Sus scrofa: one gene and its partner. Each later gene encodes a partner of the first gene's protein in a complex. Links are inferred from orthologs where the notes say so. Each region holds a gene or a part of one and is shown in the gene's direction. Other genes may lie near its edges.

Region 1 (4,050 bases):
CTGAGCAAGGGCAGGGACCGAACCCGCAACCTCATGGTTCCTAGTCGGATTCGTTAACCACTGCACCACGAACCATTTTTAAGTGTGCAGTTCAGTAATGTTAAGAGCATATTCAGAGTTCCCGTCATGGCACAGTGGAAATGAATCCGACTAGGAACCATGAGGTTGCAGGTTCGATCCCTGGCCTCGCTCAGTGGGTTAAGGATCCGGCGTGGCTGTGGCTGTGGCGTAGGCTGGCAGCAACAGCTCCGATTTGACCTAGGCTGGGAACCTCCATATGCCATGGGTGAGGCCAGACAAAAGACAAAATAAAGCATATTCATGGAGTTCCTGTTGTGGCTCAGTGGGTTAAGAGTCCAACTAGTGTCGATGAGGATGTGGGTTCGATCCCTGGCTTCTTTCAGCAGGTTAAGGATCTGATGTTGCCACAAGCTACAGTATAGGTCACAGACATGGCTAGGATCTGGCATTGCTGTATCTGTGGTGTAGGCCTGCAGCTGTAGCTCTGATTCAGTCCCTAGCCTGGGAACTTCCATATGCTGCAGGGTGGCCCTAAAAAACAAACAAAAAGATTTTTTTTTCATTTTTAAGGCTGAATAACACTCCACTATACGTAGAGACCACATTTTATTTAGCCATTCATTTGTCCATGGACACTTGGGTTCTTCTGTCCCTTGGCTGTGGTGAATAATGTTGCTTTGAACATGAGTGTCTTTGAGACCCTACTTCCAGTTCTTTTGGGTATATACTCAGAAGTGGAATTGTTAGGTGCTATGGTCATTCTCTTTGATTTTTTGGTTGGCCCTCCATGCTGTTTTCCTAGCGGTCACACCATTTTACATTCCCACCAACAGAGCACAGTATTTTGTATGCTCTTGGCCCTTTTTGGTCTAATGTAGAACATCCATGGTACTTGGCCCTCATCTAACTTCTCAGCCCCATCTGGGTTCCTAGAGCCACAATCAGACAGTGCCTGGTTGCTGAGCTCCTTTGATGGGGTGGGGAGCTGAGGTCTGTGGAGGGGAGATGACCTGCCCTTGACCAGCCCCTCCCCACCCCGCCCTGCCCCGCCCACCTCACTCTTTGCCCCATGGGATTCCCTGGCTTTCCCCTTGAGCTCCTGGGCCATGAGCACCAGGAAAGGAGAAGCACCTGGTTCAGGGGTGGTGCTCCCTGGGTTCCCCCACCCCCTTGTCCACACGTTCATCCACCAATGCTGTGCTTTCTGCCCACCCAGGTCCAACGGGCGCTCCTCCAAGCGGAGCCTTGGAGGGCAAGGCCGGCACCATTACCTCCAACGAGTGGAGCTCTCCCAACTCCCCCGAGGGGAGCAACGTCTCTGGGGGCAGCCAGGCTTTGGACAAGCCCATTGACAATGACGCAGAGGGCGTGTGGAGCCCCGACATCGAGCAGAGCTTCCAGGAGGCCCTGGCCATCTACCCGCCCTGCGGTCGGCGCAAGATCATCCTATCGGATGAGGGCAAGATGTACGGTAAGGAGGCTGTCAGTGTTGGGCAGCAGGCCCGCCAGCTCATGGTCCAGCCCCAGGAACAGCCTGGGCACAGCAACCCGGTTCCCTCCAAGTGATGGAAAGAGGTGACCTCTTGGGGCTTGTCCTGGCAGACGCTGCTTTACTCTGTCCTAGGCTCCCAAGGGCTGGGAGGCATCAGGGGAGACACCTTTGGGTGGCTGTGAGGATGGAACTTGGGAAAGCCTAGAACATCCCCCCGGGGCAGGCTGGGAAAATCCCTTTAGCCACCCCCCAGGCAGATGCCTGATCTCCCAGCTTCCCACTGTGGCTGTGAAGGCCTTTAGGAAGGCGGTCCTGGTTCACTCCCTCATTCATACCTGGGCCTTTGGTGTGCCAGGCAGGGGCGGGGCAGATCTAGTCCCTTCTCATGGTACGTGGGGGTGGGCATACAGGTAACTGTACACAAGGCGTTGAGAGTGTCCCGGGGTTGGGGGGGGGTGAGGACCACCCCCCTGCAGGAGTGTGCCCCTTAGCTGAGAGCCATCAGGGAAGGCGTGGTCTGGGGCTCCACACGCCCTCTGCGTCATTGTCAATGCAGGACACAGAGGCACTTTGTCCCGCAGACCCTGGGAAGGAACGAGCCGTCTGCCTGGGCTGTGTTGACTTTGGGATGGAAGAGAGGGTATCTGGGAAGCAAAATGAACACGGAACAACTTTTAGAGGCTCCGTTCAGGCTTCCATTGCCATTGGAAAGTTCCCTGGGACCCCCAGCCTGAAACACTGGGACTGGGTAGGAGCTGTGGGGATCTCTGACTGGCTGAAGCCCCTGTCCACAGAGGGTCTTGCCCTGCTTCCCATGAGATGGCTCTGGGCCAGTGCCCACCCCCACGTGGGTGCCCCTCCCCCAGCACAGATGCCTCATCAGCTGACTGATCTCAGCTCCTAGGGCTGCTGTAAAAAACCACCTCGAATTTCAGGGCTGCCTTAAGATGACAGACATGTATCCTCTCCCGAGTCAGAAGGTTGAAGGTCTGAACTCAGGGTGCTGGGGGTTGGCTCCCCTTGGAAGCTCTGCCGGAGGATCTGATCTGTGCCCCCTCCCAGCTTCTGGGGGCAGCTGGAGGCCCTTGGTGTCCTTGGCTTGTAGCTGTAGCACTTTGGTCTCAGACTCTGTTGTCACATGGCCGTCCTGTCTGTCTGTCTTTGTGTGTCCTCCTCTTCTAAGATACCAGTCGTTGGATATAAGGCCCCCCTTAATCCAGTGTGCCCTCATCTTAGCTAGTTAATTCTGTAAAGACCCTGTTTCCTGGAGTTCCCTGCTGGCCTAGTGGTTAAGGATCCAGTGTTGTCACTGAAGCAGCTTGGGTCACTGCTGTAGTGTGGCTTTGATCCCTGGCCCAGGAACTTCCAGATGCCATGGGCAAGGCCAAAAAAAAAAAGATCATTTCCAGATACGATTACATTCTGAGGTTCTGGATGGATGTGAATGTTGGGGGCGGCGGGCGCTGTTCCACTCTGTTCAATTAACTAAACTCAAATCTGCTTTGTGACTGGTCTAGGGAGCCAGCCCCACCTGCTTGTCTTTAATCTGCACCTGCCCTGCAAGGGCAGGGATTCCTTCTCCTGCTGGAGGAAGCAAGGTCCTTTCGAGCTAGACCCCAGCTCTGCTCCTCGGTTACCTGTTACAGCTGCTCATCCGACTTTACCAGCCCCTCCGCTGAGGCTCTGCGGGGCCCCCACTTCTGCGGGTCTCCACGCCCTGGTTTGGGCTCCCCTGGCACCTTGCTCTAACCACGTCCTGCTCCAGTGGTTGCTTCTTACTTTGGGTCCCCATGGAAGCTTCACGGAAGAGGCAGCCGCTGTGCGCAGAGCAGCTGTGGGTGCCAGGGGTGGGACCTGCTTTAGGTAGGCTCTTCCCGTGGAGCTGGGTGGCCTGGGCTCTTCCACGGCTTGATGGAGAGTGGGGTGCGTGTTGGTCATGAGCTGAGGTGTGACGGTGACGTCGTGGCGGGGGTGTGGCTGGAGAAATCAGGGTCCCTTGATGGGGCAGTGGTCAGTGCCCAGGCGCCTAGCAGGATTGATCTTCCTGCTTTAAAAGGACACATGGCCTGGCAAATACAATTGTGTTCGAGGCGCTCGGTGTGGGGAGAACGCTGAGGGTGCTGCCTGTTGGGGAGGCCCCGGTGGTGGCAGGTCTGGAGAGCCAGCAGACAGTCCTCGCGTGCCACAGTGGGACCCACTGTTTCTTTGTTACCCATTCTTAAGTGTACAGCTCAGTGGCATTAAGTACGTTCACATTGTGGTTGAGCAGCCATCCCCACTGCCCGTCTCTAGAACTTTCTCATTCCCTCCAACTGAAACTCTGTCCCCGCTCAGCACTGGCCCCTAGGTCCCTCTCCCGCAGTCCCTGGTACCCGCCATCCAGTCTACCGCTTTGGCTAGAGCTCCTCCAGGGCCCTCATATACATGGAATCACACAGTATTTGTCCTTTTGTGCTGGCTTTTTCACCTGACATCATGTCCTCAGGGTTCCTCCGTGTCATTTCAGGTGTCAGGATGTCCTTCCTTTTTAAGACTGA
Region 2 (3,852 bases), on another chromosome or scaffold:
CTGCTCAAAAATGGTTTTGCCACATCCTGAAAAGTGAGGCTTAAAGAAAAGAGTTTTGAAAGGGATGGTCTATAGCTTCCCTGAGTAGACTCTGCACTTAAACTATAATAACTTAAAGAAAACTCTATCACACATAGTACCTTCATATATGTGACTTCACTTAATCCCCATGAACACTCTGATTGAGGTGTTCATACATATTAGGTGTTCATATAAGGAAACATAGTCACCTTTTTGTGTTTTAGAGAAATAAGAGCAAATACTCATCACAGGCTATAGTACAGCCAACAGATAAGGATTTTTCATAAGATGTTTTGCAAGTGCCCTGTCAGGTGGGCCACTTACCTGCATTTAGCCTGAGTAAGCTAAGGCAGAGAGAGGTCAGCTGGCTTGCCCAAAGCTATGTACTCATCAAAGATTTCAACCCATCACAGAGCTACTGAGTGGTGAGGCTAAGACCAGAGACCAAGTCTTTTCTGAATCATCTTCTACCTCTGCCGTTGTTCATTTTCTCTATCCCAAGAAGCTTACCCAGGTGAAACTGGGTTGAACTTCAGGGTGATTCCTGAAATGCAATAAAAGTTCCAAAAGATCAACCTAAATGGCATGATAGGTAGGGGAGAGTTTCCAATCCATATTTTGTCCCAAGATGCTGAGACTTTTTCTCTCGCTCTCTTGCTCTGCTGTCTCTCTCACCAGCTAGCTTAGTGGGAGCAACTTTCTCTCTTGCCTCCTGCTGTCTATCTGCTGTTAATAAAGGATGGGTCAAGTGCTGGCTCGGATTTGCTCTAACAATTAAGGGTTAGAAGAAGGAGCACCAGAGTTGAGAGTCCTGCAGAAACTCGGTTTGGAATCTTAGGAGCAGGGCTAGAACTTGAAGAGAGACATTAGTTTCCTTCCCCATCGGATAGGTGAGGAATCCACGGCCAAGAGAGAACTTCAGTTTTGTCAAGGGCTTAGGAATGGCTTTGGGGTCAGACTGGTCTGGATATAGCCTCTGGCCAACACACTGAAACTCTCTTAGGCTCAGTCTCCTGTTTTGTTGTATGGTGATAATAAGACGTAGTTTATAGGACTATTGTTCAAAGATTCAATGATGAGTACGTGGACAGTGCCTAGCATGAGCAAGTGCCCAGCAGCTGATGGCTATTACTGTTACCAGAGCTGGTACTGAAACTCACGTGTCTGGACACTTGCCTTAGCCTCCAGGAGAGTACCCCTCGCCAGGGCGTGGTTATGCAGGAGCTGGACTTGAGGATCCTCAAGTCTTGCAGTTGGAGCTGGCCAAGAAAAATGCAAGGGGTGAAGGGAAACTAAGGGGTTAAGGTGATGAGTCTGAGAAAGCCTAGAAAGCTGGAAAAGTGACCCCCCCCCCACTTCCAGCTTAGCCCAGCTAAATAAGCCCCTCCCCTCCGCCACCGGGGCGGTCGCCTTGCGCTTCCTCCCTCCGCCCCTCGCTTACAAGACCTAATGAGCTCCCCCGGGAGGCCGACCAGCGAGCCCGGCCCCGAGCGAGGAGGCTGCGCTGCTCGCACCGCGCCAGGGCGGGAGCCGGGCCTGGGCCGCGGGCGGAAACCGGTCGGGGGCGCACGGGCGGAGGTGTGGGCCGCGGTGCGGGCTGCCGAGGAGCCGCGGGGATGGCAGTCCAGGCGGCGCTCCTCAGCACGCATCCATTCGTCCCCTTCGGCTTCGGGGGCTCCCCGGATGGGCTGGGGGGCGCCTTCGGAGCCCTGGACAAGGGCTGCTGTTTCGAGGACGAGGAAACCGGGACTCCGGCCGGAGCGCTGCTGGCGGGTGCCGAGGGCGGGGACGTGCGCGAGGCCACCCGCGACCTGCTCAGCTTCATCGACTCGGCGTCCAGCAACATCAAGCTGGCGTTGGACAAGCCGGGCAAGTCGAAGAGGAAGGTGAACCACCGCAAGTACCTGCAGAAGCAAATCAAGCGCTGCAGCGGCCTCATGGGCGCCGCGCCCCCCTGCCCGCCCTCCCCGGGCGCCACCGACACGCCCGCCAAACGGCCACTGGCCGCTGCCGGCGCCCAGACCGTCGCGGTCGCGACTCACGGCAAGGCGGCCCCCCGGCGGGAGGCGTCGCAAGCTGCGGCGGCCGCCAGCCTGCAAAGCCGGAGCTTGGCCGCGCTCTTCGACTCGCTGCGCCACGTCCCTGGGGGCGCCGAGTCGGCCGGGGCTGCGGTGGCGGCGACCGCGGGCGGCCTCGGCGGAGCTGGCGCTGGGGGATCCGGAGGGGACGCGGCCGGCACCGCGGGATGTCCGGTGGTCCCCGGTGCCAGGAAGGTCCCGCTGCGGGCCCGCAACCTGCCCCCGTCCTTCTTCACCGAGCCGTCCCGGGCGGTCAGCGGCGGATGCGGCCCGTCGGGGCCCGGCGTGAGCTTGGGCGACTTGGAGAAGGGCGCCGAGGCAGTGGAATTCTTCGAGCTGCTGGGGCCCGACTACTGCCAGGGTACCGAGGCGGGCGTCTTGCTGGCTGCGGAGCCTCTTGATGTGTTCCCCACCGGAGCAGCGGTCGTGCGGGGATCCCCAGAGCTGGAGCCCGGCCTCTTTGAGCCTCCGCCCGCAATGGTGGGAAGTCTACTGTATCCCGAGCCCTGGAGCGCTCCGGGCTGCCCAGCGCCCAAGAAGCCGCCCCTCGCTGCCCCTCGCGGCGGCTTGACCTTGAACGAGCCCTTGCGCCCTCTGTACCCCGCCGCCCCGGACTCTCCGGGCGGGGAGGACGGGCCTGGTCTTTTGGCCTCTTTCGCCCCTTTCTTCTCAGACTGCGCTTTGCCCCCGCCGCCGCCCCAACAGGTGTCCTACGAGTACAGCGCTGGCTACAGCCGCTCCGCGTACTCCAGCCTTTGGAGACCTGATGGGGTTTGGGAAGGGGCGCCCGGAGAGGAGGAGGCGCCCCGGGACTGACTTCGAGGTACTCTTCTCTCCCAATAAAAGACTGCTCTGGGGGACTCCTGCCTCTGGGTCTCTCCCAAGCCTAAAGAACGATGGGAAAATGCACATGGAGTTGAAACGGGGTTTTAAAAATTCAATTAATAAAAGAAACTTCGGAGAAAGAAATGCAGAGAAGTTGGGGGTTGTTTTAATCACAGCCTTGTGTGGTGTTTTTCTTTTTTTAAAGCAGTTGGTAGGTTCTTACCAAGAAACCACTTCGTCGTTTAGGGAATAGGGTGGGATGGCGAAAGGGACAGGAAGTGGCCTCTGTAGCCACCTGTTCCTTTCCCAACTTTTCATCACAAGGCCAGTGTATTTAGGGTAATTGCCCCTTCCAAACGGTATCCTGGACCTTCCCCTTCCCTCCCCTTGAGTGTGTTATGAATTAAAGCCTATATTGAAAAGAATGGAGCAGAGGTATGTTGTTATTGATTTGGGTGTTTTGGGGTATTTTCCTAGAGGACGGTTTTCTGTGTGGTCTCCCTGCCTTGTTAGGTGTGTGTTAGTTGTGGACAGGAGACTGGTGGGTGACTGCGGACCTCACCTGTGCTGAAGGGCCCTGGAGAGGAGTCTGATCTGTTAATCTGAGGGAGACTTGCGAAAAGTCAGAAATGTTTTAACCAGACATGACGTAGCAGAGAGGACTCATGGCATATCAGCATGGTTGAGGGGTAGAGAAAGATGTGGGAAATGAGTTGCTGGAAGGAAATAAAGGGAGCCCTTCAGTTCTGCAGACTTGCTGGTGAAAATGTCCAGAGAGACCTACATGCAGACAATATAAGGTGTTGCTTACTGTTTAAGTTGCAGAGAAGAGCTGTCTCTGTTCAGACACCAAGATAGATGATCAAAATAGCTACATGTAAGAAAGTTGAAACTCTGTGTTATGTTAAAGTTATAAAAATCTAGATCA

Evidence for each region.
Region 2: the proteins of TEAD4 (region 1) and FAM181B are in contact, whole or in part, in a crystal structure (PDB 6SEO), measured with the Homo sapiens proteins. The link is inferred for Sus scrofa from reciprocal best matches to the Homo sapiens genes TEAD4 and FAM181B. Residues at the interface, in NP_003204.2 of Homo sapiens: Glu263, Ala264, Val265, Asp266, Gln269, Ile270, Asp272, Lys273, Leu295, Lys297, Trp299, Glu391, Val414, Glu416, Val417, Ser418, Ala419, Ser420, Gly423, Gln425, His426, His427, Tyr429; in NP_787081.2 of Homo sapiens: Pro221, Leu222, Arg223, Arg225, Asn226, Leu227, Pro228, Ser230, Phe231, Phe232, Thr233, Glu234, Pro235.

What each region holds. Positions count from the first base shown.
Region 1 is NC_010447.5:67,164,771-67,168,820, reverse strand, and holds the start of TEAD4 (transcriptional enhancer factor TEF-3), read left to right. Parts: upstream 1-1,241; 5' UTR 1,242-1,266; coding exon 1,267-1,492; intron 1,493-4,050. UniProt on the Homo sapiens protein: Transcription factor which plays a key role in the Hippo signaling pathway, a pathway involved in organ size control and tumor suppression by restricting proliferation and promoting apoptosis.
Region 2 is NC_010451.4:16,920,787-16,924,638, reverse strand, and holds FAM181B (protein FAM181B), read left to right. Parts: upstream 1-1,496; 5' UTR 1,497-1,637; coding exon 1,638-2,915; 3' UTR 2,916-3,349; downstream 3,350-3,852.